2 linked regions of the Nothobranchius furzeri genome follow. Each later gene encodes a partner of the first gene's protein in a complex. Links are inferred from orthologs where the notes say so. Each region holds a gene or a part of one and is shown in the gene's direction. Other genes may lie near its edges.

Region 1 (16,630 bases):
CTCTCAAACCCAGAAGGCCAAAGTGTAGGGGTGCAGTTTTCTCTACCAAACTGTTTCGTAAAAGAATTATTTTTCTTTTAAGGACAGTTTAGGCCAACAGAATTTCTTGCCATCATGTTTTGTTTTGTTTCCAGACTAAAAACCTGACATCGATTGCAGGAAAAAATGCCATTGGATTTTATACCAGAGATTGAAGCAAAGAATTCTCATGACTGAAAATTTGGGGGGGGGGCTCACTCACATTGTTTACACGCAGCCACTATTCGGGTTTTGATAACCAGTCACATACACAGTGTTGGGTGTTGAGATTTCTCTGAGGTAAAAAAGATAAATATTACTCCAGGGGTGTCATGCCCCCCACGAAAAAAATTACTGGACATTTTATATTTTAACGCATCAATTTGGTGCATTTTGGGGGGGGGGAAGTAGAGTAACAGACTCGTAGCTATGTATGATAATCTAAACATGTTCATGTGTTAACGTTTAAACCATTGTGAACAGACTACAGCGATAGCAGGATGGATGCATCAGCAGGTAAGTACCAGAACTACAGTAGTTACCAAAAGAACCAATCAGCTGGCAGAGCTCCCTGTTAAAGAACCAATCAGCTGGCAGAGCTCCCTGTTAAAGAACCAATCAGCTGGCAGAGCTCCCTGTTGAACGTGTGAGCTACAGGAACGTGACTCAATTTAAGGAACAAAGTAGAATCCAGCTGCTTTTATTTGTTGGTATTTATAGAAACTAAATATATCTGCAGGGCTTTAGGCCCAGGGCAGTTTTATACCTTTGAACAGCTTTAGATCATGACCTGTTAATATGTTCTTTACACCAATCTGAATATTCTGTAATGTTCACAGACATCCAAACCTTAGAAATGAGAGAACTTTAATCCCCGTTTTATACACAGAATACATTTATTTTGAAATAAAAAAGTTAGATATTTACAAGTGAGCATGCTTTCTGCCTCCATGCCAAACACCAGAAGGCTGAAAACCAAATCTACAAACTTATTACTTTCGACCCCATTTCTCCTGCTGTCTAGCAGCACTTACAGAATCAGAAGCCATTTTAAAACGAGGCAACGCTGCTTCAGAAGGTATTTTTTTTTTAAAGTTGCATTATCATGGTTTCCCAAACACATTCTACTGCTGCAGCTTTTATCGATCAGATGATTTGCAGTGATGGGGACGTTCCATTTAGCCAAAGATGCTCTTCACTGGGATTCGCTGAGGTCAACTTTAGAGGATGGAAATGGTTACAAGTGTTTGGAGCGAGTGATTTACTCCGACGCATCGGCTTCCTTTAGTTTTTTCTTTTTCTTTTTTGATTTTCTTTCAACCTGCAGAAGAAAAGCCATCACTTAAGTTTATTATTCACCAGGAACCTAAAAGTTGAACGAGAATGCAGGAAACGCTCAATCACCTGTGTGTCAGGTTCCTCCGCCACTTCTGGCTCCTCCTCCTTCACTTCTGGCTCCTCCTCCATTTCTGCTTTTTTCTTTTTCTTCTTTTCTTTCTTTACCTCTGCAGAAGGAGTCTCCGGGGTTTCACTGTCACACTCTGTAGCCTCCCGTTTTCTCTACAAGTCAGAGGTCACTGTAGGTCAGTTTTCACCATCACCACCAGTGGGGTAGCACTATGTGACAGTATTACCTTAGCAGGGGTGTCTTTTGGTTCTTCCTTAACAGTAACACTGTCAAAAAATAAAACAAAATGTCAGTCACTGTTTGATGTATTGACATCGTCGCAGCTCATGACGACTCTGTACTCTGTTGAGCGGCGCCGTCAGCAGACAGTACATGCTGAGTACAGGCGCTCCAACACGAGAGTTTCTCTAGCAGACTTACTCCCTCAGAGGGCACACCAGCTCAAAAAGGGATAACCGTCTGCAGCCGAAGCCCCGCCCACAGCAGCACTACCTGTAGTCTGCGTAGTCGTCTTTCCAGTCCTGAGGAGTTTGGGCGTTTGGCTTTCCGTGTTTGTCTAGGAGTCCTTGTTTGATCATCATCTTCTTCTTACATGCCTGATTAAAAATAAATAACAGTTTCTTCTACTCAAATTTTATTTACAAAGTTATTGGAATTATTTTTGTTTATTGGCAGATTAAAAAAAAAATCAGATTTGTACATTTACTATCATAACACGACACCCACCTTTGGACCCAGACCCCATTTCCGTGGATACGTGTCTCTCTCCATGATCACCCTCTTGATCTTCGCCACGACGCCGTGATCACAGGTGGAGATCACTGCTGTGGTCATCAGTGCTACCGCTAGAGGAGGAGGAGGATGTGGTTAATGTGATTTTAACCCCTTCTAGAGTTTAGTGAGGTCTTCTGGAGGCCATCAGAAAAGGGTGATAGATAGCAGGTCATCACTGCCCGAAAGCTGCTGCATCTACTCAACTCATCATGTGGCTTCACACCAAAATCAGCACGCCACAACAGACTCACCTGTACAGATGGCCTCGCCTTTGGTTGTTATGACAACGATGTCCTGGTTAACCTCTATGCCGTCTTCGTACCGGAGGACACCAGGAAGCATGATCTTGGCACCGTAACAGATGGCGTTCACCTGTAGAGGCACTCATGAGTTCACTCCGACAGATTTAACCCACACTGCATTGTTCTCCGTTCACAGACGGTCACACGCTGTCCCCGACTAGAGGAAGACTCACCGCGCTGTCCTTCATCATCAGCCGTTTGTATGACACCAGCAGCTTTTCTAGAGGGAAGATGACTCTCCTCAGATAAGTCTCATCTTTATTGTGATCAAATTGCCACTGAGCATCGAGAACATCGTGCATCGTCACCAAGTTGTCCTGAAAGCAGATGTTATGTTAGCAGCACCGAGTCTCAACAGGCGGACATGCACGCCCATCGTTGCTCCGCTGCGCTTACTCTTCCAAAGTCTAATTAACAGCTCGGCACTAAGCAGCAGAGCTGGACTCAACACTTTGGACTAGAGAACTGAACGTGGTTCCTACTGCGATCACTTAACCAGCTGTGATACAATAAACCATCACAACAGCAAGATGCACGTGGACACACACTGACCTTCTCGCCCAGAACTCCAGACCGGACCCTCCTCAATTCCTGCATCTGTCCTCCAACTCCAAGTAAAAGTCCCAGGTGGACACACAAAGTCCTGATGTAAGTTCCTGCTTCACAGCTGACCCAGAAGATGCCTGTTCAGAAGAAAAACATGATTTAAAGCAGAAGAGCATCAAACTTCATGACCTCGGCGTCAAAATGAGTGTCTCACCCAGCCTCCGCTCTGGGTCGTACTCGATCAGCTTGCTCTCGTAGATGGTTCGGACTCTCAGCTGACGTTTCACTGCAGCGATGAGGGGAGGACGCTGGAATAGAGCTCCGGTCAAGGTCTCCAGGGCCTGCAGAGGACATTCAGGACCATCAGCTGGTCAGGTCAGAGGAAAGGCAGCAAATACAGGGTGTGACTTACCCGGGCCAGCACGTGTTCACTCTCTACTGCGTTGTGCAGCCGAACGATTCCCACATACTCCTTACCTGTAACACACAGAAGCTTTTTGTTTTTATACAACCAACAAGTTGCAAATGGCATCTTTGACCCTAAATGGATGACTTCCTGTTGGATGTAGGCCACATATTCAAAAGATTTGAGTCCACCAGTGGCTACTGACATGCACACAGCATGTACATTAGCTAATAAATGTTTGCCCACTTCTTAAAGCTTTTGGGGTTAATGCATTGGGCACTCACCAGCACTCTGCTGGGACTTCACTAGTCTGGTGGCTCGGTCAATGCAGACGATGAGGCAGCCAGTGACCTTTGGGTCTAGAGTCCCGCTGTGGCCCGTCTTCTCCACTCGCAGGATCCTCCGGATCCACGCCACCACCTCATGAGACGAAGGGTTGGCTGGTTTGTCCAGGTTGATGAATCCAGACCTGATGAGAGGAGATGCATGGTCACCACTGTAGATAGAGCTCAGTCAGAGCTGTGATCTAGTGAAAGTACCTGACATAGTCGCTGATGTTTCTTTTCAGCGGGTTGCTGCCACTGGGTATGGGGGTGTAATGAGATGTAAGGATGTTCAGCTTATGGAGATTCTGCAAGAAGCAAAACAAACCACCTCAGCTAGTGGGTCTGCAGAGTTTCCCTTACATAGGTGTAGCTGTGGCGGCTTGCCACAGCTGAAATCCCAGCGCCACGCCTACAAGATCCCAAGTTAAATTTTTTTTTTTTGCGCCGTTTCCCGAAGAAGCAGCGGGAACTACTCCGTTGCTTGTGATCACAGCCGACAGGCAGCAAGGAGGAGGTGGCAGGGCAGGGAGGTTACAGCTAGGGATGAGCCGGATACTCATTTCAGACGAGTATCCGGTACGGATAAAGCATTTTTGACGAATACGAGCATTAAACTCGTAAATATCTAAGTGTGCTGAAGGAAAATCCTCATTGGGTAACTGACTGTCTTCATGCTCTGTGATTGGCCATTCACATAGAGTGCCCGCCCCTCCCTACACATAAGTCTGCAGGGAGCTCAGTCCGTCCGGCCCATCCACACACAGTAACGGATCTCTCTGATTGCTTCACTGTTGCTCACCTTTCTTCAGTGCACTCTAGGTTTTCTTCAGCTCGCCTCTTTTTCGGTTGAATATTTAAAGTAACTTTTTTCATAACGTACGCGGTGCATTTGACAAGACTAGGGCTGCAACTAACGATTATTTTCATAATCGATTAATCTGTCGATTATTTTTTCGATTAATCGGTTTGTTACTGTTTAGCTATTTAACCTATACAAGTGATGGATGCATTTCAGTTAAGAAAAAAAAAACATAAGAGAATTGTGCAGTTGACTGCAATCTATTTTATTGCACATGAACACAGTCAGCAGTATAAAATGAGCTAAACAGTGCAAAATATCAGTCCAGAATAATTTTTTAGCATTAGCTGGAAGCCTGCTCCTTCCACCATGGATAGTGGCCTCATGTCTTTTACCAGCATGTTTAGAATAGAGTTTGTAAGTGGTATGAATTGCTGGGGGGTGAGTGTCTTGTTCCCCATGTAGTTGTCCATCGTTGCTTGTTTTTTTCTGCATAAGAAACACAAATAGACTGAAATAAGTACACATATAAAATAAAGCAGCACACACACTACAACACTAAATCAATGTTAAATTATTTGTATTAATTAACAATATACAGTGATCATTTATTTTGAGGGTTACGTTCTACAAAATAGGCCGCAACAGGAGATATTAAGAAAAAAAGTCTAATTTTTTTACTATTAAAAAGCTCTAAGTAAGAAGCTCATGAGGTTTTTACTTTGAGTCGGGAGTGTTTAAATTAGCTAGAAAAATGTGAAAAATGTTTATTTTGTGTAATACTGTTTAAGAAACATGATAAAAATGTGTTGTGAGGCGTTTTACAGCGTTAGACAGTAAAACAGCCTTTTAATAGTAAAAAAATGACTTTTTCTGAATTTCTCCTGTATTTAAAAATTGAAAGCGTACAACTATGCCGCGTTATATTCACCTGGACACAGCTCGTCTGTATATTTTTCACCGCAGAGTTGTCCTTTTTTGAATGAGGAACATAGTTATGGGTTTGTGCCGTTTTTCTCTTAACTAGAACATTCTTATAAACAGACGTGCTGAATTTGGCAAGCGCATGATTCACAACACGGAGGAGATTCACGATTGCATCTAGTCAATCAGAAGTAGAACACCGTAGACTGACGCGACAAAAAAACATGTTTAACATCCACTATAACGAACTCAGCTAAAACACTAAGTCCAGCTTGTTTATTTTCTGTTACTTACCGGGCTGGCTCTTCCAAATGACGGCTCACTTGACCGCGGTGCTCTTCCTCAGCCCCCACGTTTTCGTCTCAAATGTTCACTTAGGGACGTCGTGCTTCCGTGCCATGCTAGATGGTTTTTGCATATTTTGCCTTTTCAAGGCATCTAGACTGAAGTGCTCCCATACTCGTGAGGTTTTTGTCCGGGGTTTCTCTAAAGTTTTGTCGCTTCTATTTTCTTCCGTATTTCCTCTTGTTCCGCCATCTCTCACAGCAAGATGAGCGTCAGTAACGTGATACGTCATGAAAACCGAGGGCACTCATTGGCTCATTTCTTCTTCTACGGCTCCACTGGTAGATCAGTGGCTCATTACTGCCACACACTGGCGGCAAATTTAACAGCTTGTAACCGATGTCAGATTGTGGTAAAAAATAGACTTTATGCGGTAAAATATGATTATTAAACAACTAATCGATGACTAAAAAGGTTGTTAACTATTTTAATAATCGATTATAATCGATTAGTTGTTTCAGCTCTAGACAAGACAGAGCTGAAAACGGCTTGTGCATGCGTCGGTCACTGCCTCCGCTCAGGTTTTTTTTTTAATGTATTTATTTTAACTCTCTCACTCACACACACACACCTCAGTCAACATAGTTTTGTTTAACCGTGTGTGGGAAAAATGCCAACAATGTGAGGAAAAAATCAGTTTAATCAAATTAAAATAAATTCTAGTATTTCATATTTCCTAGTTCCTACTGCATGAGTTCAGATGCATTTATTCATGCACTTAAACATTAATGTTCTGATTTTACTGAAAAACTTGTTCTGTAATGGTTTCTTTACTATTGTGATCAAAAATATTTAATCTCAGTTCTGAGGCTGCTCTGTAAATAGTTTTCAGATAAACAATACACATATCAACTTCTGATCAATCCAATTTCAGATTTAAAATAATGCATTGATGTAAACCACACCCACTAATTTACAAATAATAAATAAGAGGTGCATTCATCTGTGTATCTCCTTTGATCCGCATTAGTGATATTTTCAGCACCAGAACAATGAAGCAAAGAAACAGATTCCTGAGTTTGTTAGTAATTTTATTTATTAGGTGCATCTAACCTGTTCTATTTTTCTCTGAAATGAGATCAAATCAGTGCTTCTATGGGTTGTCTCCTCTCTGCACTAGAAAAATTTACTTTATTATAATGTTCACTGTAATGCATCTTGATGTTCTTAACACAAATTAAATCAAAGATATGGGTCAATAATGCCAAATATGTAAATTTTTGTTTCAGTCATTTTTATACTGGCTTAAAAATACTTCATTAAGTCTACTAAGCAGGGGTGTAGAAGGGTTTTTAATATTAACATAAAGGTGAGACTTGTCAATCATTCTCCCCCCAGCACCACCACCGGAAAAATTCCCAGGGGAAACGCTTGTCTGACAGCTAGAGCCGATTCCAACAGGGTTCTAGTCGAGTCAACTCATTACACCAGATGAAACCACAAACATGTCACTAAACAGAGCAGATAACAAATGCTTTATAGCACAGAGTCAATGTGATCAGAATAGGAGGTCGTCTTGGCTGTGGTCAAGTGGGGTCATTCCCCAGACGGCTACTGGTCGTGGTCAGGCAGAACGCCGAGACCCCTCTAGCAGCCGCAGGAGAAGCTCTGATCCAGAACGGAGCAGAAGCAAAGACCACAACAGGCCCACAGCACTCAGAGAATGGATAAACCAGTTCATCATATCACATGACCAGGGTCAAACATGTCAGCAGGCACAAACAGGAGGAGGGGTTCCTGACCTTTAATAACAAGGGCCACTGGGAGGAGTCCAAAGTGGGGACTTTGGTGTCTGGCTGGATTAAAAACTCTTGACTCTCTTGGATCTCCTGTTGAATAAAAACATCAGTTTGTTCAACAGGAAGAGAATCTCCAAATAGATCTTAAGTTGAATAAATTCACACCAACCCCAACATCTTCAGCCACTCTCTTCGACTTCTTCTTCTTCTTTGTGGATGCTGCAAAATAAAAACCAAACTAAAGTAGCATAAATCCTTCCTAAAATCAGAATTCCAGGATTTTCTCAGAGAACAACAATCTACCGGGCCCTAAGTGGTGTTTTGTCACTAGCCAGACTGCTCAAGTGTTCACCAATATTCTAGACGAGTCTTCATGCCCACCGGGAACTGAACATTGCATTATAACAGGTTACTGGTCCCAGGTAACCTCAGGTTAAAGGTCACTAACTCCAGGGACCATACTACACCTGCTTTTTAAAAGAGTGTTCAACAGGTTTATCCAGGCGATTACCTTCATGTGTGCAGGAGCAGCAAACCTGCAGCACGTGCAGCATGGTGGCCCTGGAGATGGGCCCTGCTCCAGTGCAACTCTGAGCCCAAAAGGGCCTTTCAGTGGAAAAAGTACGACCGAAAGAAAGTATTTTATCTGAAGGAACAGAAATTTAAATCCCTGTTGCAGTTTGGTAAATTTGGAAAACTGTAAATGAATGATATAGAGCCCACGTGGCCTGCAGCTGCAGCACGTGGTGGAGCGCACGTGGCTGCTAGCGGAGCTAACAGGCCACTGACCGAGAACCCGCTCTCTCAAAGTTAACTACACTAAACGCTGCTGGAGCTTATGAAGAAAACACGAGTCCACAGAGCAAACCCTTAGTTCTGTTATTGAATTAAACCCAACTACTAAAGCATGTTGGACACGTGGAGGGATTTGTTTGTTTTAACTGGCTCAGACGCTGCCAAACCTCCTCATAGACCAACTTAGGAATTTTTTTTACTGCGATTCCTTCTGCGTAAAACACGCTTGTACGTGCACGTGGACGTGTTGTTAATAAAATCCCTGACTCAGCAGAATTATGTTCAAACTTAGCAATAAATTAAACACAGACTGTCGCTTACAAAACGTGCTCGACACTCACCAGCTTCGTCCGCCATCTTCTAATGAAAGATTCTTCTTCTGCTTGATGTTTTATGGCGGCTGGCACGAAAGTACTTGGTGCACTACCGCCACCAACTGGTCACAGAGCAGAAATGAAACCAAATGAGGTAAATAAATAAATGAATTTGCTATTTAAATACAATTTTTACATAATTAAATATAAAATGGAAAAAAATAAATGTGAAAAATAATTCTGACTTTTCTTTCGGTGGTTCTAATGCTCTTCTTTAATTAACTAGCATCCTGGGGGGAAATAAACACTAAAAAAGGCCAGTGATATTTGGAGTCAGATAAGTCTGTCATTAAGTAGTGAGACACAGATCACTGGTGGGCCTCTAGTGCAATAGTGTGTTAAAAAACGGAAAAAACATGAGATGACTGCGGATTTTAGAAGAAACGGGAACATGCTAAATGCTTGTTCCATCCTGGGAGAGAAGGTGGAGGTGGCGGAGGAACATAAATACCTCAGTGTCCACCCGGACGGCAGACGGGACGGATCAGTGTTTACAGTTAACCCCAAAATCCCACTATCTCCGCGTAGTGGAATTTGAGTGTCCACAGCTGCAGATCCAATAAAAATACTTCCTTTTTTATTGTTTGATAAACGTGTGTCCACTCCAGGCCAGGTGGGGGCAGTAATGCTGCACTGCTACCACCCACAAACGTCGAAGAAGAAGAAGACTCAGCATAATTCAGCTGGATTTTATGCGAGAACTTCAGGATCAGATGGAAGGTGAGGATCTTCTTGATTAGTGAAGTAGTTTTTGTTCAGGTCTGAATAACCTGCAGCTTCCGGGTTAAAACATTCTGATGACGTGTGGATGTTTTACTGCAGGGTTGTAAATGAAACCCTGCAGAACCCAGCTGCCTCATCAACATTCACTAGGACAACTTATTTAGATCGTTCCTGTCCGCAGGTATTCTGTCCCATTACTCGTGGCCACACTGCTCCAGGTGTTCTTTCTCCAGATGTTTCTGCTCTTATCACAGATGTTCAACAGCATCTAGATCAGTTCAGAACAGTCCAGTGCTTGGTTCTGATCCATTCTCGGTGTTCCTAGCTGTGTTTTCTGATGATAGACTCTGGACAGTAGATTTGGCTCCAGAGGGTCTTGGTGGTCCTGGGATTGGACCCTGAACCTTTTCAGGAATCCTTGGTCCAGGTGCAGTGAGTCCAGAACAGAACTGATCTTCCTCCATCTTCTACAGTGTTTCTAGAGCCGATTTCCATCTCATCAATCAAAATGATGCTCTCCCTGAAGCTCGTCAGTGTGGTTTTTGGTGATCTCTAGTCTGTTCTTTTGGGTTTTTCTGTCACCAGGAATCCTCCTGGGTCTTCAACCCCTCATGGTGGGATCAGAAAGGCTTCAACAGTCCTGGATGCATTGTTTGTCTGATTCTTCCTTCTGATCAACCTGAGAGTGGATCTCATCTCGGATCCACGTTCTTAGTGGTTGCCCACATTCCCATCAACCTCCTACTTTATTAAAATTGTCAGCTGAGGTCCCAGGACCATGAAGCTGCCTGGAGACGGTCTATGAGCCGTGGCCTTTAATACCCCTGACCTTTGTGAGCTCATCTGACAGCTAATGTTTCTGTGGTCCAGGTTCAGTTTGGCCCAACCAGCTGCAGCATGACTCCTCAAACGGGTCAGATGATGGCTGATGTGAAGTGAAGTTAAACCAAAAGGACAAATGTCTCTTTAAGGGGGACAAACCTGTCTACCCAAGCTAGTTTAGCAGATCTTTGTATGACAAACAAATCATTTCTGTGTGTGTGTGTGTGTGCTCCGTTTCACTGCATGAAAGGAGAAATAACACAAATTCACGGTTTCTAGGTGATTCTTGTGACACCTCAGCGACCCCATCAAACAGGAGGTGCACCTGGATCACAGGAAGTGCAAGGAAGATCAGAGACAACGCCGCTGACTGGCACAACCTGATGCTCAGGTGGGACAGGCTGAACGACGAAGGATTCAATTTGGCAGCAAGTATCGTCAACATGAGGCAGTGAGTTTGTTATTTAGGTTATTTTTCTCTAAGTTAGCCCCCCCCCCCCCACACACACACACTAGATACCCTCTGGGATCCAGATGAGTAAGGGTGGAGATAACTCGTTTTCTTTAGAGCAATCATAAGACGGAGCTTTACTCGTTTGTCTACATTAAGCTCTAAGCGGTCGGTTTTTAAAGACTCATAAATCAGAGGGATCATCAGCTGTGGTGATGTTTATGTCTTCAGTTCTCAGGGAGATCTGCTGGTGTTGGACACGTGTCCACCACCGTCACAGTCCACATCGGCTGAGGCGCAGCAGGTGGCTGGAGCTGCGGAGCTGCAGGATGAATGCCTCAAACTGCAGGATGTCGTTGACAGAATGGTGATGCTTCATTTAACCTTCATCTGGCACGGTTCCATAAATCAGGAGTTTATATGTTGAGTCTCAGAATAAAATAGTTTTTCTAACCTGATAAACAGCTGCTGTGTGTGGAAAGCTGCGGTTGGTCTGGGACCGTTTAATTCAATCTCACGTCAAATAAATGACTTCTGCTCATTTAGTTTTCAGTACGTAACCCTGGTTCACTCCAGCCACGTGTTTCTTCTGCTCAGGTTGTTGTGGTGAAAAAGATGGAGCACCTGGTGGAGATACAGCGTGGCGTTCTGCAGCTGGAGGAGTTTCAGTTTGGTCCTGAAGGAAGACGTGTCCCTCTGTGTCTCAGCTGGAAGACCCGGGAGTTTGGTAGGTCCACCTGAAGCTAACACGCTGACGTCACCTGGACGGGGTTCTGCTTCCACGGGGAAAACTACCAACACCTGGCATCATAAACTGAGCAGGAGGAGTATATGCTGATTATGAGGTGGTCCAGTTGTCTCTATGGCAACAATCTGATGCTGCTACCATCACAAACGCATGCTTTCATGCTGTGACCTCAGACGTTCTGATGAGTGATCCACTAACTAGAACTCTGATGATAACAAAGACCTCCTGTTCAGTCATCACCCACGTCTCCACTCCTTGTGGAGGAGTTGGTGTTCCCGGTGGTCCTCTGGAATGAGAGCAGCAGGTTCCTTTGGCGGTGGAGATGCAGATGTCTGGACACACATTAGAAAATAACTTCAATTGTCTTCCAACCTTTGATGAATCCACTGAACCAATAAGTTTAATATGGTCTGTCTGCTGTTTCAGAGGAGATGTCTGGTGTCCTGCTGGCTGCCTTCAGTCAGGAGCTGAAGTTGAAGCAGACGATTCTGCAGGAAGTCGCCCACACCATGACCTCTGACCTCTCCAAGGTCTATCTGTCCTGTTGGCTCCACCAGCCTTTCATCCCAGCAGCAACCAGACTTGGACTAGAGGCTCTGCTGCTGGAGACGGGCCATCGCCCACTCTAGACTGGCCTGCTGTAGTGAACCCTCCTGTGGTCCGTGGGAGCGATGGTTAGGGTGTAGACCTGCATTAGAGAAGTTTTTATGATTGTCCTACAGAAGAGCAGCAGGAATCAGAAACTGGGTATGAAATCCTGCACATGTTCAGCAAAACATCTCATAACAAATGCTTCTGTCTTCACCAATGCCATGACTCAGGTCCGGTCATCCTGGAACTCCTCATACCTGATTAGTTATGGTTCCTGAATGCACAACGGTTAAGCAGCAGAAGCATGTCGTGGTCAGTGAACGCACCACCACCAAAGGCTGATAGTTCTGAAGTGATCAGATATCGTGCTTGTTCCGCACCATCAGCAGGTCAGAGCTGGGCAACAACTGGAGGTCTGAGCAGCTCTGAAACATTAGATGATCGCTAATAAACTGGTCTGAGACGAGCGCGGTTATCCTGAAGCTTTGCTCCTTTCTTCATTTAACCTTTTTAAGTTGTGGTTTACATTTGCAGTGTTCTCTACTGTAAGTCAATGCCTCACGAGCAGTGTTGGGCAAGTTACTTCAAAACTGTAATGCATTATTTATTACTTGTTACCTTCATTTTAAAGTAATTCATTATATTACAATATTACTGATTTAAAAATGTACGGCATTACACTACTTTTGCATTACTTTAAGTTACTTTCACCAAAACAACTTCAATATGAGTCTGGTAATGTGACGTTCAGCGAGCTCATGACATATATGTGGAAGGTGATGTGGTGTCTGAGCTAGGGTTGCTGTTAAAAACAGTCAGATATAATAACAGTGCTTTAAAATGATTGTTTATTAAATAAAAGCAACAACAATCTGTACTCTCAGCACGCTGCCATCTTATAGGGCCATCTGAGCAGGGAGTGAGGTGGTGGGGGCTCCAAGCCTATGTTTGCCTTGGTCCTCAAATGCCTTGATACGGCCCTGGATGTGGGACTGACTTCTGGGGTGATCTGATTCTATCACATGTATAAATATTAAATGCTTATATATTATTGCTTTTCACTGGTAAAAATGTGTATTGGGGATAAATGTGCCATTTTTTTCTTTTCAAGCACTTTTGTTTTGTTTTCTTGGTTTTATGTGAATCATTTCCTGCCCTTTCTCTCTCTGACCTTCCTGCATGCTGCATGTTTTCTCCGTCTTCCAGAAAAACTGTTTCCTAGACTTCCTACTTTCTAACTAATCAGCCAAAGGGATCTACCGAAAGCAAAAAAATAAAAAGCTTAATATGCGCTGCGCTCCAGCAGCAATGAGTTGAAATCACCGGGGTACAGATTATGAACTCAGCTGAAAATTACATGAAGTACCAGAGAATATCGGCTGATAAATGATCGCAAGCGAATGACCTTGTTTTGGTGGAGTGGTTTTGTGAATTTAACAACGGCCGTGCGCACTGCACAGCTGGAGTATTTGAGGCATTACCGCTGCGTCCTCTCTGCTCATAGAATGCCCTAAAGCTGAGTCCATAAATGATGTCATATATGTGGATACTGGATCTTTTTTCAGGCTACCCGCAATTTTAATTTTTAGGAAACCCACATCCTGATTCTGGGTTTGAAAATGCATTGTAATTACCGCGTTACTGACAATTGTACCGAGTAAATATTACCCTTTTCTTTCCCTGTAATGCCTTACATTACCACATTACAGCAAAAAGCAATGCATTACAGTAATTACTTTTGTACCGCGTTACTCCCAACACTGCTCACGAGTAATTTAAAAAAGCTATGATGCTCCTGTTGTGAGATGCAGAGGTGGGCTGAAAACACCAGGATTGCTCATTATTAATGATATGTACACACCTCACTTCTGATAGGCTAAGAGAACACGTTCAGCCATGTTGCAAAGTCACCATCACACTCTGCTCTCTCCCCTCGCTGCAAAAAATATGCAAATTCATAGTGTGACATCACAGTGTAAGGATTTTCAAATCCTAGCATTTCACCATCTTTTTTTGTTTTATCCAAAGCTAATGCAGGGTAGGCGTAGGAAACCGTCAAGCTGACGGATTTTAAGATGAACTTACAAACAGGAAGTGGTAAGAAGGTGGTACATTTAGATGACGCCCCAAATGACCAAATCTTACCCACAAATATTTTTACACATCATGCCTTTTGGAAGAATTCAGTTGTTGCTGAAACGGAGACTGTGACAGGATTTATTGGAACAGGAAATAAGCTTCTGCGCCTGAACTATCAAAATAAAAGTTTCTCCTAGACGTTTCAGCTCACCCAACTGCAGTCCAACAATGTCCAGAGTCAAGTTTTATAACAAAAATACTAAAATAATCCAACTTTCACACTTTATATCCATCTATGTTTAAACATTCAGCCAAACATCCCCTTGTTTCAAATATGTAGAAACAATGAAAACTAGTTTACAAACAACCAGCTAAATGTTTAAAAACAAGCAGAGGCTGCTGATGACATCATCACAGCTGACAGGTAAACACACCACACGAGCTGGGCCCACGTGACAGTTTGATTTCACACAGCCCCGTTCTCTCACTGGTCACGGCTGAAACGGGCCAGTGTTCTGATCCGATTACACAAAGGAACCAGGTATCAGAACGTGATCGGGTTCTGTACAGCGGCGCTTCTCTGGGGCGTTTCTGGAGGTTCTGAGTCCAGTTGGAACCCAGTCAGTTTACAGAAACAAACCTAGCTTACTCTGCCGTTGTGTCCTTGAGCAGGACACCTAACTTGCCGTGCTTGTGTGTAAGTGCTGGTGGTGAGAAAGTAGCAGCCGGGCCCAGGACACCTGTGGCTACCATGTAGTTCACCACCAGATGAAAGGGTGAATAAATAATAGATTCAATAGAAAACACTTGGCCTTGAAAAGATTATAGAAATCCAAACAGTTTGTTAAAAACTCAACAAGTGCGTGTGTTTGTTTTCTGATAAAAATCTGTTTTTATTTTTCACTGGAGCCCGTCAGGCAGCAGGAAGAGCTTCTGTCCTCTGGAGGTGATCCAGGTTCCCGTTTTATCCTGTTGAAGTAAACCTAAAGAGTCCACTTGGGGGATTCTGAGGATCCTTTCCCATTTGTACTCACTTGCAGAAGAAAAACATTGAATAAAAATAATAATACAAAGTTTTATATTTATATTGTGACAGCGGAACAGAATATCTCAACCCAGATTTAATGAAGAATGCCAAAGATGTGAACATTAATGTGGGCAGGGCCAACTCACACCTGTTGGGAGCCATCATACATGTTGGTCCAAACTCACAAGACAGAACCAGTTCCAGGTGGAAAGCCCCCCCCCTTTGATGTTTCTAGAGTTCTGATTGGAGGAGACAAACTGACAGGTGGGTATGTGGCCACACCCTGCTGCTGGTCCAGTTCTGATCCCCTAGAGCCGGTTTACTGGGGAGGTCTGTCTCCATTTGAAGTCTCGATGCCCAGCATGGCCTGGACTGCCTCCAGTGGGACGCCCTCTGGTGTCTGGATGTGCATGGTTGTCCCGTCTGGTCCGTTGACGATAACAATCCCATCTGATCCTGGTTCAGCCAGCTGGACTGTTAGCTGCTCAGTCTCAATGTAGATCTCCTGGCCCTCCTGCAGCTCTTTGGCCTCAGAAGGTTCTGTTGTGTTGGATCCAGATTCTGGAGAGTCACTTTGCTGTTGCTCAACAGAACCAGTGGTCTGGCCTAAACTTGACTCTGCTGTGTTTGTCTTAGAACTGGAACAAGGAGACGTCTCTAGCCCTGTCATCTGGACTGGGACGTCATGAACCGCATCCATAAACTCTTCTTTATGCACCTCTGTTGGGACGACAGGAACTGGAACCGGGTTGGAGGTGGCTGGAGCAGAGGGAGCACCAGAGAGGCTGGAAACCAGAAGAAACAGATTCAGGTCCCAGTATGTCAGACCAGACCAGCATACAGGTCCCTAACCAGGGTTAGCAGAGTCTAGCTCCAAGTCTGGGTCAGTGACATAGAAGAACCCCATCTAATCAAAGCTAGACTGGATTATTTTACACTAGAAAACAATCTCTAGACCAGTGGTACCCAATAGGCGGCCCAGACTTGGCCCTGATCCACCAGAGTTCAGTGGAATCTCCCTTTAGCCAAATCAGAAGATAAACCGATCAATGGACCTGTTCTGTAATGCAGTCAGTGAGACGTAGGAGCTCTCACCTGCTGCTAACACGGGTCGCCACATGTAGCTCTTCACGTTAGCAGCAGGTCTGAACAACCCAAACACACACAGGGTAGGGCCAGCTCACCTGGAGGAGAGGTCAGCGGAGGTGGTGAGTAGTTTAGATCCACCTGGAATCACCAGAGGAGACACGGAGACCAAGCAGGGCTTCAGAGGAGCATTTCCTGGAGTGGCTGATGTCACAGAGACTAAAACACAAAAGCAGCAAATGATAGAAAACTGACTAAATTACAGCTTTTGTTTCCTTGATACAGTTTAGTCACAAACTGTTTTCATCTGTTCTCAGTTAGTCTTTGTGTTATCTGCAGTTTGGTGG
Region 2 (15,696 bases), on another chromosome or scaffold:
GCATGCATGTGTGTGTCTGTGCATGTGTGTGTGTGTGCATGTGTGAGTGTGTGTGCATGCATGTGTGTGTCTGTGCATGCGTGTGTGTGTCTGTGCGTGCCTGTGCGTGTGTGTGTATGCACACATGTGTGTCTGTGCATGCGTGCGCGCGTGTGTGTCTGTGCGTATATGTGCGCGTGTGTGTGAGTGTCTGTGCGTGCATGTGCGTGTGTGTGCGAGTGTCTGCGTGGGTGTGTGTGTGTCTGTGCATGCGTGTGTGTGCACGCGAGTGTCTGTGCACGCGCGTGCGTGTGTGTGTGTGTGTGTGTGTGTCTGTGCGTGCGTGTGTGTCTGTGCATGCGTGCGTGTGTGTGTGTGTGTGTCTGTGCATGCCTGTACGTGCGTGCATGTGTGTGTGTGAGTGTCTGTGCATGCTGTGTGTGCCTGTGCATGCGTGTGTGTGTGTGTGTGTCTGTGCATGCCTGTACGTGCGTGTGTGTGTGTGTGTGTCTGTGCATGCCTGTGCGTGCGTGTGTGTGTGTGTGTCTGTGCATGCCTGTGCGTGTGTGTGTGTGTGTGTCTGTGCATGCCTGTACGTGCGTGCATGTGTGTGTGTGAGTGTCTGTGCATGCTGTGTGTGTCTGTGCATGCCTGTGCGTGCGTGTGCCCGTGCGTGCGTGTGTGTGTGCACGCATGTGTGTGTGCGTGTGTCTGTGCGTGTGTGTGTATCTGTGCATGCCTGTGCGTGTGTGTGTATCTGTGTGTGTGTGCATGAGTGTGTGCGTGAGTGTGTGCATGCCTGTGTGTGTCCGTGCGTGTGTGTGCATGCCTGTGTGTGAGTGTCTGTGCGTGCGTGTGTGTGTGTCTGTGCATGCATGCGTGTGCAAGCGAGTGTCTGTGCACGCGCGTGCGTGCATGTGTGTGTGTGTGTGTGTGTCTGTCTGTGCGTGTGTGTGTCTGTTTGTGCGTGTGTGTCTGTGCATGCGTGCGTGTGTGTGTGTGTCTGTGCATGCGTGTGTGTGTGTGTGTGTGTGTCTGTGCATGCCTGTACGTGCGTGCATGTGTGTGTGTGAGTGTCTGTGCATGCTGTGTGTGTCTGTGCATGCCTGTGCGTGCGTGTGCCCGTGCGTGCGTGTGTGTGTGCACGCATGTGTGTGTGCGTGTGTCTGTGCGTGTGTGTGTATCTGTGCATGCCTGTGCATGTGTGTGTGTCTGTGTGTGTGTGCATGAGTGTGTGCGTGAGTGTGTGCATGCCTGTGTGTGTCCGTGCGTGTGTGTGCATGCGTGTGTGAGTGTCTGTGCGTGCGTGTGTGTGTGTGTGTGTGCATGCGTGTGTGCGTGTCTGTGCGTGCGTGCCTGTGCGTGCGTGTGTGCGTGTCTGTGCGTGCGTGTGTGTGTGTGTGTGTCCGTGCGTGTCTGTGCATGCCTGTGCGTGTGTGTGTGCATGAGTGTGTGCGTGAGTGTGTGCGTGAGTGTGTGCGTGTCTGTGCATGCCTGTGTGTGTGTGCATGAGTGTGTGCGTGTGTGTGCATGAGTGTGTGCGTGTGTGTGCATGAGTGTGTGCGTGTGTGTGCATGAGTGTGTGCGTGTCTGTGCATGCCTGTGCGTGTGTGTGTGTGTCTGTGTGTGTGTGCATGAGTGTGTGCGTGTGTGTGCATGAGTGTGTGCGTGTCTGTGCATGCCTGTGTGTGTGTCCGTGCGTGTGTGTGCATGCGTGTGTGCGTGTCTGTGCGTGTGTGTCCGTGCGTGCCCGTGAGTGTGTGCGTGCACGTGAGTGTGTCTGTGCATGCCTGTGCGTGTGTGTGTGTCTGTGTGTGTCCGTGCCCGTGAGTGTGTGCGTGCACGTGAGTGCATGCCTGTGCGAGCGTGTGTCCGTCTGTGTGCCCGTGAGTGTGTGCGTGTGAGTGCGTGCGTGCGTGTGTGTGTGTGAGTGTGTGCGTGTGAGTGTGTGTGCGTGCGTGTCTGTGTGTGCGTGCGTGTGAGTGTGTGTGTGTGAGTGAATGTGTGTGTCCGTGCCCGTGAGTGTGTGCGTGTGAGTGCATGCCTGTGCGAGCGTGTCCGTCTGTGTGCCCGTGAGTGTGTCCGTCTGTGTGCCCGTGAGTGTGTGTGTGCGTGCGTGTCTGTGTGCGTGTGTGTGAGTGAATGTGTGCGTGTGAGTGTGTGAGTGAATGTGTGCGTGTGAGTGTGGACAGAACATCTGGTGTGTTAGAGTGAACTACAAATCCTTCAGGAGGAAAGAACCATGAATCTGGTCATGTGGTGAATAGCAGCTATGCTGGGGGAGGGGCTTCTGTGGTGATGTCACATATGCAGCGTGCTGATTTCTGCTGTAGCCATGCTACTTATGAACTTTACCAGCTGATGAATCTCACAGGACCGGGCAGGTGTGGTAGAAACAGCAGCATAGTAGAAGTACAGCACGAGTGTTCCAGCATCTGAGGCAGAGCGGGTTAGAAGTACCCTTCAGCCCGGTTCAGCCCGGTTAAGGGACCGGAGCTCACCAGAACGGGAGGAGACGAGGCTCTCCACAGCAGCGGTGTCATCATGGCCGCTACGTTACGGCCCTGGTGGTGAGCAACACTCCAGATTCATGCTCAGGTCTGCAGCCTGACGTGTCCTCTGAAGGGACGAGGACACGCTCCTCTAACAGGATGCTGTGATTTGATTGGCTGCAGCACCTAGCTGCCCCGCCCCATGGGTCCAGATGTTTCACTCTGGAACAGCTGATCATTCACCTGCAGATGTCGAATGCTTCTCAGAGCCGTCTCGTCCAGCAGGGACAGGTCCACCGAGTCCATCTGACTGGCCAGCAGCTGCAGGTTCTGTAGCACAGATCACAAGTCCGTCACGGACACATCCTCCAGTCCGAGTCACACAAACACCAAGTGTTTCAGTTCAACAACTCCAACAGGTCCGCTCACGCTCACCTCTCCGTTCCCCACAGGAACGCTGATGACGATGTCCTGACTTCCCGCTGCGATGGGAGACCCGTTGACGGAGATGCTGTAGACTTTCTCTTTGTGACGAGGAACTCTCACCACGGGAGTTTTAGGAAGTCTGAGGAGACAAAGTACGAATGCTGACTGGGACACATTCAACAGGACCGAGGGACTCGGATGCAGGTTCCAATTCCCGGTCTCCTGATTGGGTCGGTCTGGATCCAACGCCAGATCCACACGGACCACAGAGCTCATCTCTTTATACGGCGTTATCGCGTGAACTCGGATTTGGTGTTCTGGCCGGAGTGGATATCTGGAGACGCTCAGCCAAACGACAACGGTGCCTCCGGAACCAGACCGCACCCGTTCTGTAGTTGGTGTGAATCAGGCACCGGGCCGGAGGTACTAACGCAGAACGACAGCAGCGTCCACACCTCACCCTCTCATTAAAGGGATGAAACCCTGAAAAACCACGTTTTAATGGTTCTGTCTGATTCTAACGGGTCACTCTGATGCAGGCTGAACGTGAAAATAGACGACGGTTAGCAGCTGAGCTTTACCACAGGTGCTCGCTAGGTAAGCTCAGGATGGGAAACGTCAAGCAGGTCTGAAAAACTGTTAGAAAAAGCGACACAGCTCAAAACTCAGAGCGTAATCGTACCCGCAGCCATGTGAGCAGCGGCAGGGTTGGCTGGACTACAAATGAGGAGGTGTTTAGATGTTGTGGGCTTGCAGGCACAGCTGTGGCACCTTCCTCCTAAAGAGGAAGAGGAGCGCATCCGTTTTAGCACCGTGGAATCTCCACGGATCAGGAGCGAATGTGCTTGTTTCTGACACAGGGGTGACATCACGCAGGGGTGACATCATCCAGGGGTGACATCACGCAGGGGTGACATCATCCAGGGGTGACATCACGCAGGGGTGACATCACGCAGGGGTGACATCACGCAGGGGTGACATCATCCAGGGGTGACATCATCCAGGGGTGACATCACCCAGGGGTGACATCACGCAGGGGTGACATCGCGCAGGGGTGACATCATCCAGGGGTGACATCATCCAGGGGTGACATCACGCAGGGGTGACATCATCCAGGGGTGACATCACGCAGGGGTGACATCACGCAGGGGTGACATCATCCAGGGGTGACATCACCCAGGGGTGACATCACGCAGGGGTGACATCATCCAGGGGTGGCATCACGCAGGGGTGGCATCACGCAGGAGTGACATCATCCAGGGGTGACATCATCCAGGGGTGACATCACGCAGGGGTGACATCATCCAGGGGTGACATCACCCAGGGGTGACATCATCCAGGGGTGACATCACCCAGGGTGACATCATCCAGGGGTGACATCACACAGGGGTGACATCATCCAGGGGTGACATCATCCAGGGGTGACATCACCCAGGGGTGACCTTTGCAACACCCAAAAGTCGTGGGGTCATTTGAACGTGTTTTCTTGTACCGATCTAATTACCGTTTAGGAACCGGTATCAAGTGAAAACTATTCAATAGTCAACACTAGACAACGCCTTGGCTAGCATAAGCTAACCATTAGCATTAGCAAATCCACCACACAGCAGAACTCCTCCAGCCTTGTGTTATTGGAGGAGATAAAATATCAACGATGCAGAGTAGTCAGTGTTGGAGTCGTGTTGTTGTTAGCCAATCAGAGCGGAGATGTCCACATATCAGGAAGTAAGACTCCAGATCCCGCCCTCCGAAGCTCAGCTCTGATCTGGCTCGCTGCTTGTTTCTAGAAATGGTGCACCAGTGTTTTCAGTCCCCTGAGAACGACCTACAAGTCATTCATTCCTACTAGAGACCACCGCAGCTTAAACGAGCGTTCCACACCTTTAACCGAGTGCGCTGGTTCTGGTTTAACTGGTGGAACCAGAACCAGAACCAGGGCACAGTAAAAGCTTCTATGGACCAAAACAATCAGAGGTTCTGACCAGCCGATCACAGATGGAACTGATCACATGGCTCTCATTACACTGATTGGCAGAATGAAAAGGTTTTATTTTGAAAGTCGAGCTGTCTCCCTTTTTTCTCTGGGGAGAGGCGTTTAAGGACCGCCCCTCGGAGGCCAGGTGAGGCTTACCTGGGGTCGAAGCGTGGGGTGATGAGAGGAGTCTGTCCCATCATTAGGGAGGAGTCCAGCACGGATCTGGCAGGAGTGACCATCGGCTTCCTGTTGGAGCTGCACACACTCACAGTCAGAGCCAACACACCTGAGGGGGCGGAGCTTCAGCTAAGGAAACACACTCACTGTCTGACGACGGCGCTCTGTTTGCTGACCGCCTTGGATCGTTTTGATGAGGACGGGGGCTTCTTGCTTGTTCTCCCCTAAAATAAAAAGCCTATGAAACAAGCAGAGCGATGCATTCTGGGTAAAAACCAGAAAATCAGAAACCTTCTTTGAGGTCAGCAGGTTTTCATCTTCTGAGGAGGCTCCACCTTTCTTCTTCACCGCTGCAAGTCAGAAGGGACAGGAACAGCTCAACTTTGTTCCTTCAACAGAACCTTACGCCGACACAAACCTACTCTTCTGGATGGATTTCAGGACGGAGTGGTCGTCGGCAACGACGCTCTCGCAGATCGCATCCTCCTCTTCTCTCTGCTTAAACACAAATAAAGCAGGAAGTCAGCAGTGTCCAGGCCTCCAGAACCGCCATCCGGCAGCTTCTAGAGGTCCCTCTGCTCCAACACGCCTGCTTGTATTCAGCAGGTGGTTCACCAGCAACCATGAAGGGTGAGTTGAAGCAGAGAAACAACACGCTGGATAGGATCCCTGGAGGAGCTGGGCCCTCGTTTATCAGCCGTACTTAGAACAGATCTGTGCGTGGAACGTTTGTACTCCTGTTCCTAATCACAAGAACAGCGGTGACCATGCGTAGGAGCAGCATCTAGAGGTGGAGCGGGGAACGGCTGTTAGATAACTGGAGCTAAAACCAATAATGGACGCGTGTGACCGACGGGAATCTGATGTGCCATCATGGCGGATCGGTTACTCCCTAACCCAACAGACACGAGCACCTGGGTACGGAACGTGCGTGCGAGACGCCACCGCACGTTTCTTAAATCAGGTCTTTGACCGTTCGCTCTAACGTTCTAAGTTTCCGTCACAGGCAGGAACAGAAGACGCTTGATCAGTGAGGGCCCTGGTGTAGATTCATTCATCCAGGATGGCTTGAGACTGGACTAGAGGACAACCCTCTTCACAAGCAGAAGAAAACTCTGGCGGTGACGGGGGAACTCACCTTTGTGTCGCTGACTTCTGGGGTTTTGGGTTTTTCAGCACCTGTACAGAAACCGGAAGTAAAAGACGGGAATGCTCCTCCTGGGTGTCTCTGGTGACAGTCAGTCTGAGAAGAAGCTCAGAGTGCTGGTTCTGACCCGCTTCATGGTGAGCTCAGCGGTGTGTGTGAGGAGGACTTACTGCAGTGCTCCAACCAGACGGCCTGTCGCTCAGCTTTGGATAGTTTGATCAGAGCCATGTCGTAGCGGTTGTCCACGTCCTTCAGCAGGCCTTCCAACTGCCCCTGCAGCTGGTCCACCCTGGTTTTCACTGCGCGCGCGCGCGCACACACACACACACACACACACACACACACACAAACTCTTTTCACTTCCTCGTCCCATAAAGTCAGTTATTCTGCTTGAAGTTAAAACTTTTTTTTAATCCTTCAAAACAACAAATTCCAGCGTTTGAGTGACTTGAAGCCCAGTAAGAGTCTGCTAGTAACGGGTTCTGGTTAACTCGGGTTAGCGCTCACTAACCCAGACCCTTTAGAGAGTGTCTGCTAGCATCTGAGTTCTTAGGCTAATTCTGCACCTTCGCTGTCGTAGTCGTGCAGAAAAGCTTCGATCTTCGCGACCTTCGGGTTGTTCTTCTGCTGCCTGGTGGTTCTCTTCCGTGGAGCCATGTCAGCGCGGAGTGGAAGGATTTAGTCCAGAGAGTCTGAAACCGTTTCACAGAAGATAAGCTTTAGCTAAAAGAGCAGGCACGAGGACGTTATCCGCTGACTGCGCTAGCTAGTTATTTAGCATCAGGGCTTCGCGCGGATTTTTCTACCGACCATTTATTCACACATCTTATAAAATTGATAAAACATCACTTTAATCCGATTTATCAGCCTTAAATTAGAGAAAAGTCACCTGCGTTTCTTTTGCCGCTTACTTCTTCCTACTAGACGTTTTAAAATTCTGCGCTGGGACACGTCAGCCAATGAGGACGTACGTTTTTACTGCGTCACAACACTGAGGCGTTTACCAGCGCTTGGCAAACGTGCATTACTGCCATCACGTGGCTTGGGGTGTAGTAACAGTCACGTTATTAGGGTACTCGGTGACAACAGCCATATGTACATAAATGTTTATGTGTTGTATTTATGTTTATTATATAAACATAAATGTTTATATATACATATCTATGGCAACAGCTGTCTCTGTGGCTCGCGCTGCACGCAGAGCTCTGACGGAAACTTTGTTTCACCAACAAACGTTCCGTTCTTCCTCGTTGTGAGTTTCTATTGGATCAATATCTTTATGAATTGGTCCTTGATCGGGACTTAAAGAACAGCTAAATATGAATAGGTGTGTGTAGGTTTTGACTTACGTGTTATAAACAGGAAGATTGTTACTGAATGATTAATGTGTTCATTCTATCATTTTCTTTTACAAGAACAAAGTTTACTGAAGCTCATTCTTTCATTTCAGTAGTTTTATTCCGTTTGTAAAACTGAACATTGTTAAATGTAAAGGGTGGAAAATAAACGCTGTGGTCTTTAACGTGTTTAAGCGCCATTAAAACTGTGTTTATTATTTATTAACAGGGTGTACGTTATGTTCCGACACGCACTGCTGTCTTCATGGATAAATAAAAACATTCCTAACTACTGGATCTTTTCCATGCTACGTTCACTGACAACGTATAAAGTAGGAATTTCCTACACTTGTTACATAAAACATACTTTTGAACTGTAGCCGTAACTTTGCTGAATTCCGTGTTTGTCAAATGACGTAATCCTGTCTTTAGACTATATAAAACATTAAAATTGCATCATTTAGAATTACTGCCGACTACAAATGAATCACAGGACTAGAGTTTAGATCACCCTAACGACTGCACCCCCCACACGTGTTGTTTATATGGTCAACGGTGATGGAGTTGAAATGGAGCTCGAGTGAGAGCTCGGACTTCTGAGGTGCCCTGAACGCATCATAAGTCATTGTTTACATCCGGAGACCGGAAGCGGGCTCTAGACGTGAGCTGCCGCGTGGAGACGTGCGTGAAGTAGGAACGGGTTCGAGCAGGAGAACCGGAGCATGTCCGAGCCGCTGCAGGAGGCGCTGAGGAGGAGCTTCGTGAGTCTGGAGAAGCAGCGGGAGGTCTGGAGGAGCGTGTTGGAGGAGTGCAGCCCGCTCATGGAGGCTCTGGGGAACCTGGCGGAGCAGATGAGCGCGCTGACCCGCGTCCAGCTGCTCGACACGCCGCTCCGAGTCTTCCCGCAGCTGGAGGAGCTGCTGCGGGTCAAGCTGCTGCAGGCTGCGGACACGGTGCTCCAGAGGCTCGGTGAGAACATGTGAGTCAGAGCCCTCAGAACCACGCTGGCGGGAAATAAACGTACGTCAGCGTTAGTTATTGTCATCAATAATCGGAGCTTCGGGGTGATACTGACATCTAGTGGTCAGAAGTAGAACAACACCCGTTCCAGGGTTATGATGGAGCGCATGCGCGTTGGCTATCCATCTTAGCTGGACGTTATAACTATGATCCACTTACTTTTTAATTGTTTCTCCCATTTTATTCTCATCTTTTTAGTTATTTATTGTGAAGCAGCTCGTGACCCATCTTCTGACGGTCCATGTGTTGTGTTCCTCCTCCAGGTGCCGTCTGCAGTCCATCAGAGATTCCATCAGTAGCCAGGCCTCTGCTCTCCTGCAGCAGTACCAGCAGAGTTCTGTGGACCTGACGATGCTGACGGAGCGCTCGGCCACCGTCCCGTCTCTGGCCGACATGCTGCAGTGGATCCAGGACGCTGAGCGCTTCTACAGGCAGCAGTATCCTTCCTGTGGGCCTCCTGGCATTCCCGTTATCCTGCTGTTGTCGTTTCCCTGAACTCATCTTCAGATTCCTACAGAGGAAAGCTCTGCTGCAGACGCTGAGGCCGGACCAACTCCTTCTGCTGGAATCTGCTCCCAAAAGGTGGAAATCTCTGGAGTCTCCGAGTGCCGATCAACAGATCACAGGTGAGTCGTGACACGTGGACCAGAGCCCACCCCCATGTTCAGGTCTCCCAACGGTCCGATTTGCTGGATTTTGTCTCTTTTCAGATTCACTCTGCAGACTCTCTCTCTTCATCCAGCCTCAGTGAGCTAGCGAGGGTTCGCTGACCCGACCCGACCCGACCCGAGGACACAAGACGCTTCCAGCTCTTAATGTCAAACGCTTTTATTTGAAAACCAGAAGTTTGTGTGAAGATCTGGAGAGATTACAGCCTGCACCGCACACGCTAACAAGCTAGCACGCCAAATAGTTCAGTCTCTGTCACACACACACACACTCACACACACACACACACACACTCACACACACACACACACACACACACACACACACTCTCACACACACTCTCACACACACTCTCACACACACACACACACACACACACTCTCACACACACACACACACACACTCACACACTCACACACACAGTCCTGTGTGTAAATAAATAAATAAATAAAGGGTCACTCTGTTAGTGGTACCCCCCCCCCTAGACGTACTCCTTCAGAGGGACGTTGTTGGAGATGATGGGTTTCGGTGGTTCCGGTGCGGGCGAGTTGGCGAAACTCCGGCCGACGTAGCCGCGACGGTACCGGCCGCCCCGCTCCATCAGCGGACAGGTGCTGCTCAGCACGGCGCCGCTGATCATCAGGATGACGGCGGCGGCCCAGCCCAGGTAGATGGCCTGACCCAGCTCCCGCTTGTGCATGACGGGAACGTTGGGGTTGTAGAAGTCCTGGACCACCGTGTTGGCGGTCCAGGAGACCGGGATCAGAACACACAGGCCGGTGACGATGAAGAGAATTCCTCCTGCCAGCGCGATTCCCGCTTTGGCCCGGCGGTCGTCTCCGGCGCAGGTGGTGCACTTCATTCCGCAGCAGGACACGGTGCAGGACAGCCAGCCCATGAAGATGGCGAGGCACATGAGGGCGCGAGCGGCCTGGATGTCCGGCGGCAGCGCCAACATGGAGTCGTAGGTCTTACACTGCATGTGACCCGTGGTCTGGTAGATGCAGTTCATCCAGATGCCCTCCCACTTCATCTCCGACGTCAGGATGTTGCTGCCGATGAAAGCCGACACCTTCCACTGAGGCAGCGCCGTGACGGCGATCGCCATGATCCAGCCCGTCACCGCGCACGTGAAGCTGATCAGCTGCATCCCCGTGTTCACCATGGCGACGGCTGCTGGCGGGAGGCTCTGTGCGTCGGCTCGGGTTCTCTGATCCCCCTTCTCTTTCCTTTGATCGGAATGTCAGAAAGCCTTCAGCCTCGTCCTCCTCCTCATCAGCATCTGCTCCGAGTTCCTCCGGTCCCCAGGTCCCTTTGGGCCCTTGGACTTGGTTTGTCCCCAGTCAGAGGCTCCAAGGGTATGGCTGTCCTCTGCTCGGCCCCTCGTCTCTGGATCACCAACACGAAGACTTTCTCTGTCTTTTGTTCTCGACGAGGACCTGATGCATTATTCAGCAGCGGCGCTGTGACCTTTGACCCCGGCGCGGTCAACGGATCCGATCAGAGTGGGCTGCTTGTCCGAGTCCAGTTCAGACTCGGTGCCGTGTCCTGGGCCGGTGACCTTACGGAGACCTGATATACAAAGCTCTGGTGCTACCTGGATCGGCTCTGACTCTGGAAAGAAACCCGTCCAGAACCAGCGAGCTGCTTCAGAACCTGATCAGCTGTTTTGATGATCGGTCGGTTTAAATGTCTCCAGCTGAAGTGTCTCCTCCCAGGTGTCCACTTCAGCCCCTCCCCCAGCGACCGGCCCAAATGGGTCAGTCCGATTCTCAGAAGGTCTGAAAGAACAGGCTGGTGCGGCTCGACCCGCAGGTTCTGCTGTCAAACCAGATAGGGAGAACTGGACAGGTGTGTGTAGGGGGGGGGGGGGGGGGCTTTGCTCACAGCAGAACCGTTCACAGATCAGCTGATAAACACACTGAGCGCGCTCAGAACGGATCAATCCCTCAGCTCTGAGCGCGCTCAGTAGCACCATGAATTAAATATTACAACATCAATACCAGCTGCTCGGGTTTCTTCTGTCTGGTGACACGATCTCCACGGTAACGGTCGTCATGACAGCTCGACAGGAAACAGGAAGTGGCTGAGATGATCATCCTCAGACATCCAGTTCAATTTAAATCAAATCCTGATTCTGGGAGTGAAACCTTCCGTAGGGAAGGCCGGACGGTCCTGGGTTGGAAATGATGCATTCATGGGCCCAGAGAGAAAATCGGAGCTCTGGAGGTCAGGTGACTGCCACAGATTCATCTAATCCTGTTGATTAACAGCTGGTTTCTTTTGTTTCCAAACTTTTGCTGAAATCATTTTTCTTTTGTTTGAAGGATAAAAGATTTGTTTGTTTTTCTCACATTTAGAGATTTTAAAAAAATTCAGCTGTTTTAGTTTTAAATAAATGAAACTGCCAAAAACATGTTTGATGCTTTTATCTGAAACGAATAACGATGTTCCAAATCCGCCTAGTCTTTCAGGTCAGCTGACCTGTAAGATCAGCTGACCTGTAAGGGCCATCAGCTGACCTGTAAGATCAGCTGACCTGTAAGGGCCATCAGCTGACCTGTAAGATCAGCTGACCTGTAAGGGCGATCAGCTGACCTGTAAAGGCGATCAGCTGACCTGTAAGATCAGCTGACCTGTAAGGGCGATCAGCTGACCTGTAAAGGCGATCAGCTGACCTGTAAAGGCGATCAGCTGACCTGTAAGATCAGCTGACCTGTAAGGGCGATCAGCTGACCTGCAAAGGCGATCAGCTGACCTGCAAAGGCGATCAGCTGACCTGTAAAGGCGATCAGCTGACCTGTAAGATCAGCTGACCTGTAAAGGCCATCAGCTGACCTGTAAGATCAGCTGACCTGTAAGGGCGATCAGCTGACCTGTAAGGGCGATCAGCTGATTGGTCACGGGACAAACAGGACAGCAGCTTTATGGGCATAAAATACGATTTATTACTTTGCACATTAACACAAGATTTCCCTGCAGGCTAAAAAAAAATCTGAACATGTCACATAATAATAGCAAATTCATGACCCTCTGCTGGGTGGGCGGGGCTAAATCAGGCCCTGCCTTCTTACAACCAATCACAGAACAGAACTGTTCTGGTCCAACCGCTTTAGCTTAACCCCCAACAGGAACCAAAGAGGTAAAAACAAAAATGAAATACACAAAATTACAAATCCATCAATATAACAAGATATCAAAGTGAGGAATTCCAAAATAATCCGTGCTCTCCGTGGAGCCGAACCCATCAGGGAGCTTCAAAAGGTTAAAAAGAGGTAATCCTGCTCCTCCGGTGCCGCCGGGACCCGTCAAACACAAATGCTTCTGAGGGGTCAGGAGGCGTGGCCACAGGTGTGTACGTGTGACCACGCCCCCTCACAACTCACCACAGAGGGAAGGGGTAGCTCTTCTAACGGGTCCACATTTGAACAAAGTACCTCGTTTGGATCGGAACCGATGTTGAGAACCCCCCCCCCCCAGAAACAAGCAGATGATCGACGGGAGCCTTAACGCCAGACGGACAGGTATTGCTAGACTAAATCAGTCCCACTAACCCAGAAACGTTTACCCCAAAAGTTTATATTTTATTCTCATAATAAATATGATTGAAAAAGATCGATATTAAAAGGACGAAACTTCGGCATGCAGGCGAGCAAAGTCTACATGTGGTAGAGGAACCGGTCTACAGCCGACCGACTAGTCCGCCCAACACGTCCCGCTGGCGGGTGCCAAAGTAAAACCAACCAAAGACCAAAGGAACCAGAGAAGTAATGCTAGCTGGGTTCGCCACAGCTGATCCATCGGGGCCGTATTGCTTTGTGACTTTACGAACAGTCATGGATTATCTGCCTGGAGGTCAGTGATGTTCGACCCTTTCAAAATAAGACGCTGACCTGACCTTTTCAAGGTAAAACGCCCTGCGTGCAGTCATTTCCTGTCGGCGCTGGAGGCCAGCGTGCACGCCTTCAACGGGAAGAAGCTCAAACTCATTCATAGTAAACCTGCTGCTTTACGGATGGTTTATTACAAAAGGGCTTTCACCGAGCCGCCGCCCGAGGAGGCGTGCACGCCGCCCGTCCCCTCCCATCCTGTCCTGCAGCATCCACTTACACCAGCAGGGGGCTCTAACCCAGTGGCGGCATGGCCAGCGCTTATTGGGTGCAGTGTTACCATAGAAACCAAATCATAAAAGGGATGTGATGATAGGTCGATTTGACACATAAACCCAGATTGCGAACCCATAACTCGGTCCACAAGTCCTGATTGTCTCCAGCGATCCGATCGGAAGCTGCTTCCTGCTACACAAAACCCTCAGAGGAGGCGTGGCTCCTCCTGCTCCTCCTCCTGTTACCCAGAATGCTACAAATAAAAACAAACCCACCCGAGGCTCCGCCCCTTCAACCCCTTCCTGAAGACTAATCGCGAGCTGTAGAGGAGGTTCCGCTGCTCGCCATAAAATTCATCACGATAAACAACATCAAAGGTAAACGACTAACCCTAAGCAACAGCGTCAAGAGAACCACCAAACCAATTATACTGAACATGTACGAGTCTGCTTTCTGAAGGAATCCATGGACAAACAGATCCACAGAGCCCAGCTGACTAAATCCCAGGTCAGTGCAGTGACTCCAGACCCAACGAGTCGGCCTGAAGGAGGTCTAGAACCAACAAGTCAGTCTGAGGGAGGTCTAGAACCAACAAGTCAAGTCAGAAGGAGGTCCAGACCCAACGAGTCGGCCTGAAGGAGGTCTAGAACCAACAAGTCAGTCTGAGGGAGGTCTAGAACCAACAAGTCAGTCTGAGGGAGGTCTAGAACCAACAAGTCAAGACAGAAGGAGGTCCAGACCCAACGAGTCGTCCTGAAGGAGGTCTAGAACCAACAAGTCAGTCTGAGGGAGGTCTAGAACCAACAAGTCAGTCTGAGGGAGGTCTAGAACCAACAAGTCAAGACAGAAGGAGGTCCAGACCCAACGAGTCAGTCTGAAGGAGGTCTAGAACCAACAAGTCAAGTCCGAAGGAGGTCCAGACCCAACGAGTCAGTCTGAAGGAGGTCTAGAACCAACGAGTCAAGTCCGAAGGAGGTCTAGACCCAACGAGTCGGCCTGAAGGAGGTCCAGAACCCAAGAATCGGCCTGAAGGAGGTCCAGACCCAACGAGTTGGCCTGAAGGAGGTCCAGAGCCAACGAGTCAAGTCAGGAGGAGGTCCAGACCCAACTAGTTAGCCCAAAGCAGGTCCAGACCCAACGAGTTGGCCTGAAGGAGATCCACAACCAACACGTCGGGCCGAAGGAGGTACAGAACCAACGAGATGGTCTGAAAGAGGTCTATAACCAACAAATCAAGTCAGAAGGAGGTCCAGACACAACAAGTCAGTCTGATGGTCTAGAACCAACGAGTCGGTCTGAAGGAGGTCTAGAACCAACGAATCAAGTCCGAAGGAGGTCTAGAACCAACAAGTCAAGTTCGAAGGGGGTCCAGACGCAACGAGTCGGTCTGAAGATGGTCCAGACCCAACAAGTCAGTCTGAAGGAGGTCCAGACCCAACAAGTCAGTCTGAAGGAGGTCTAGAACCAACAAGTCAGTCTGAAGGAGGTCTAGAACCAACAAGTCAAGTTCGAAGGGGGTCCAGACGCAACGAGTCGGTCTGAAGATGGTCCAGACCCAACAAGTCAGTCCGAAGGAGGTCTAGAACCAACAAGTCAAGTTCGAAGGGGGTCCAGACGCAACGAGTCGGTCTGAAGATGGTCCAGACCCAACAAGTCAGTCTGAAGGAGGTCCAGACCCAACAAGTCAGTCTGAAGGAGGTCTAGAACCAACAAGTCAGTCTGAAGGAGGTCTAGAACCAACAAGTCAAGTTCGAAGGGGGTCCAGACGCAACGAGTCGGTCTGAAGATGGTCCAGACCCAACAAGTCAGTCTGAAGGAGGTCTAGAACCAACGAGTCAGTCTGAAGGAGGTCTAGAACCAACGAGTCAGTCTGAAGGAGGTCTTGAACCAACAAGTCGGTCTGAAGGAGGTCTAGAACCAACGAGTCAGTCTGAAGGAGGTCTAGAACCAACGAGTCGGTCTGAAGGAGGTCCAGACCCAACAAGTCAGTCTGAAGGAGGTCTAGAACCAACAAGTCAGTCTGAAGGAGGTTAGAACCAACAAGTCAGTCTGAAGTAGGTCTAGAACCAACGAGTCGGTCTGAAGGAGGTCCAGACCCAACAAGTCAGTCTGAAGGAGGTCTAGAACCAACAAGTCAGTCTGAAGGAGGTTAGAACTAACAAGTCAGTCTGAAGTAGGTCTAGAACCAACGAGTCAGTCTGAAGGAGGTCCAGAACCAACGAGTCGGTCTGAAGGAGGTCCAGACCCAACAAGTCAGTCTGAAGGAGGTCTAGAACCAACAAGTCAGTCTGAAGGAGGTTAGAACCAACAAGTCAGTCTGAAGTAGGTCTAGAACCAACAAGTCAGTCTGAAGGAGGTCTAGAACCAA

What was found.
Region 2: the proteins of cinp (region 1) and airim are in contact, whole or in part, in a cryo-EM structure (PDB 8RHN), measured with the Homo sapiens proteins. The link is inferred for Nothobranchius furzeri from reciprocal best matches to the Homo sapiens genes CINP and AIRIM. Residues at the interface, in NP_116019.1 of Homo sapiens: Leu161, Leu162, Thr165, Glu169, Asp177, Leu178, Leu180, Ser181, Tyr182, Ser184, Met185, His188, Pro190, Tyr191, Val192, Glu193, Ser194; in NP_001289959.1 of Homo sapiens: Leu107, Gln110, Ala113, Ala114, Asn116, Leu117, Phe119, Val122, Ala124, Leu125, Phe128, Pro129, Asp130, Leu131, Arg134, Leu135, Lys138, Gln139, Ala142.

The regions. Positions count from the first base shown.
Region 1 is NC_091758.1:16,257,617-16,274,246, forward strand, and holds cinp (cyclin-dependent kinase 2-interacting protein), read left to right. Parts: upstream 1-9,320; 5' UTR 9,321-9,448; coding exon 9,449-9,476; intron 9,477-10,580; coding exon 10,581-10,752; intron 10,753-10,983; coding exon 10,984-11,119; intron 11,120-11,349; coding exon 11,350-11,479; intron 11,480-11,926; coding exon 11,927-12,129; 3' UTR 12,130-12,622; downstream 12,623-16,630. Other genes in the region: H/ACA ribonucleoprotein complex subunit DKC1, read right to left, coding at 1,280-1,339, 1,423-1,578, 1,653-1,692, 1,919-2,022, 2,153-2,271, 2,452-2,572, 2,676-2,819, 3,055-3,185 and 7 more; znf839 (zinc finger protein 839), read right to left, coding at 15,517-15,982, 16,382-16,502. UniProt on the Homo sapiens protein: Component of the DNA replication complex, which interacts with two kinases, CDK2 and CDC7, thereby providing a functional and physical link between CDK2 and CDC7 during firing of the origins of replication.
Region 2 is NC_091759.1:26,713,809-26,729,504, forward strand, and holds airim (AFG2-interacting ribosome maturation factor), read left to right. Parts: upstream 1-8,146; 5' UTR 8,147-8,255; coding exon 8,256-8,512; intron 8,513-8,816; coding exon 8,817-8,990; intron 8,991-9,060; coding exon 9,061-9,179; intron 9,180-9,263; coding exon 9,264-9,304; 3' UTR 9,305-9,493; downstream 9,494-15,696. Other genes in the region: cdca8 (borealin), read right to left, coding at 2,715-2,801, 2,907-3,036, 5,029-5,127, 5,197-5,273, 5,341-5,399, 5,472-5,547, 6,188-6,228, 6,367-6,495 and 1 more; cldn35 (claudin-4), read right to left, coding at 9,704-10,387. UniProt on the Homo sapiens protein: Part of the 55LCC heterohexameric ATPase complex which is chromatin-associated and promotes replisome proteostasis to maintain replication fork progression and genome stability.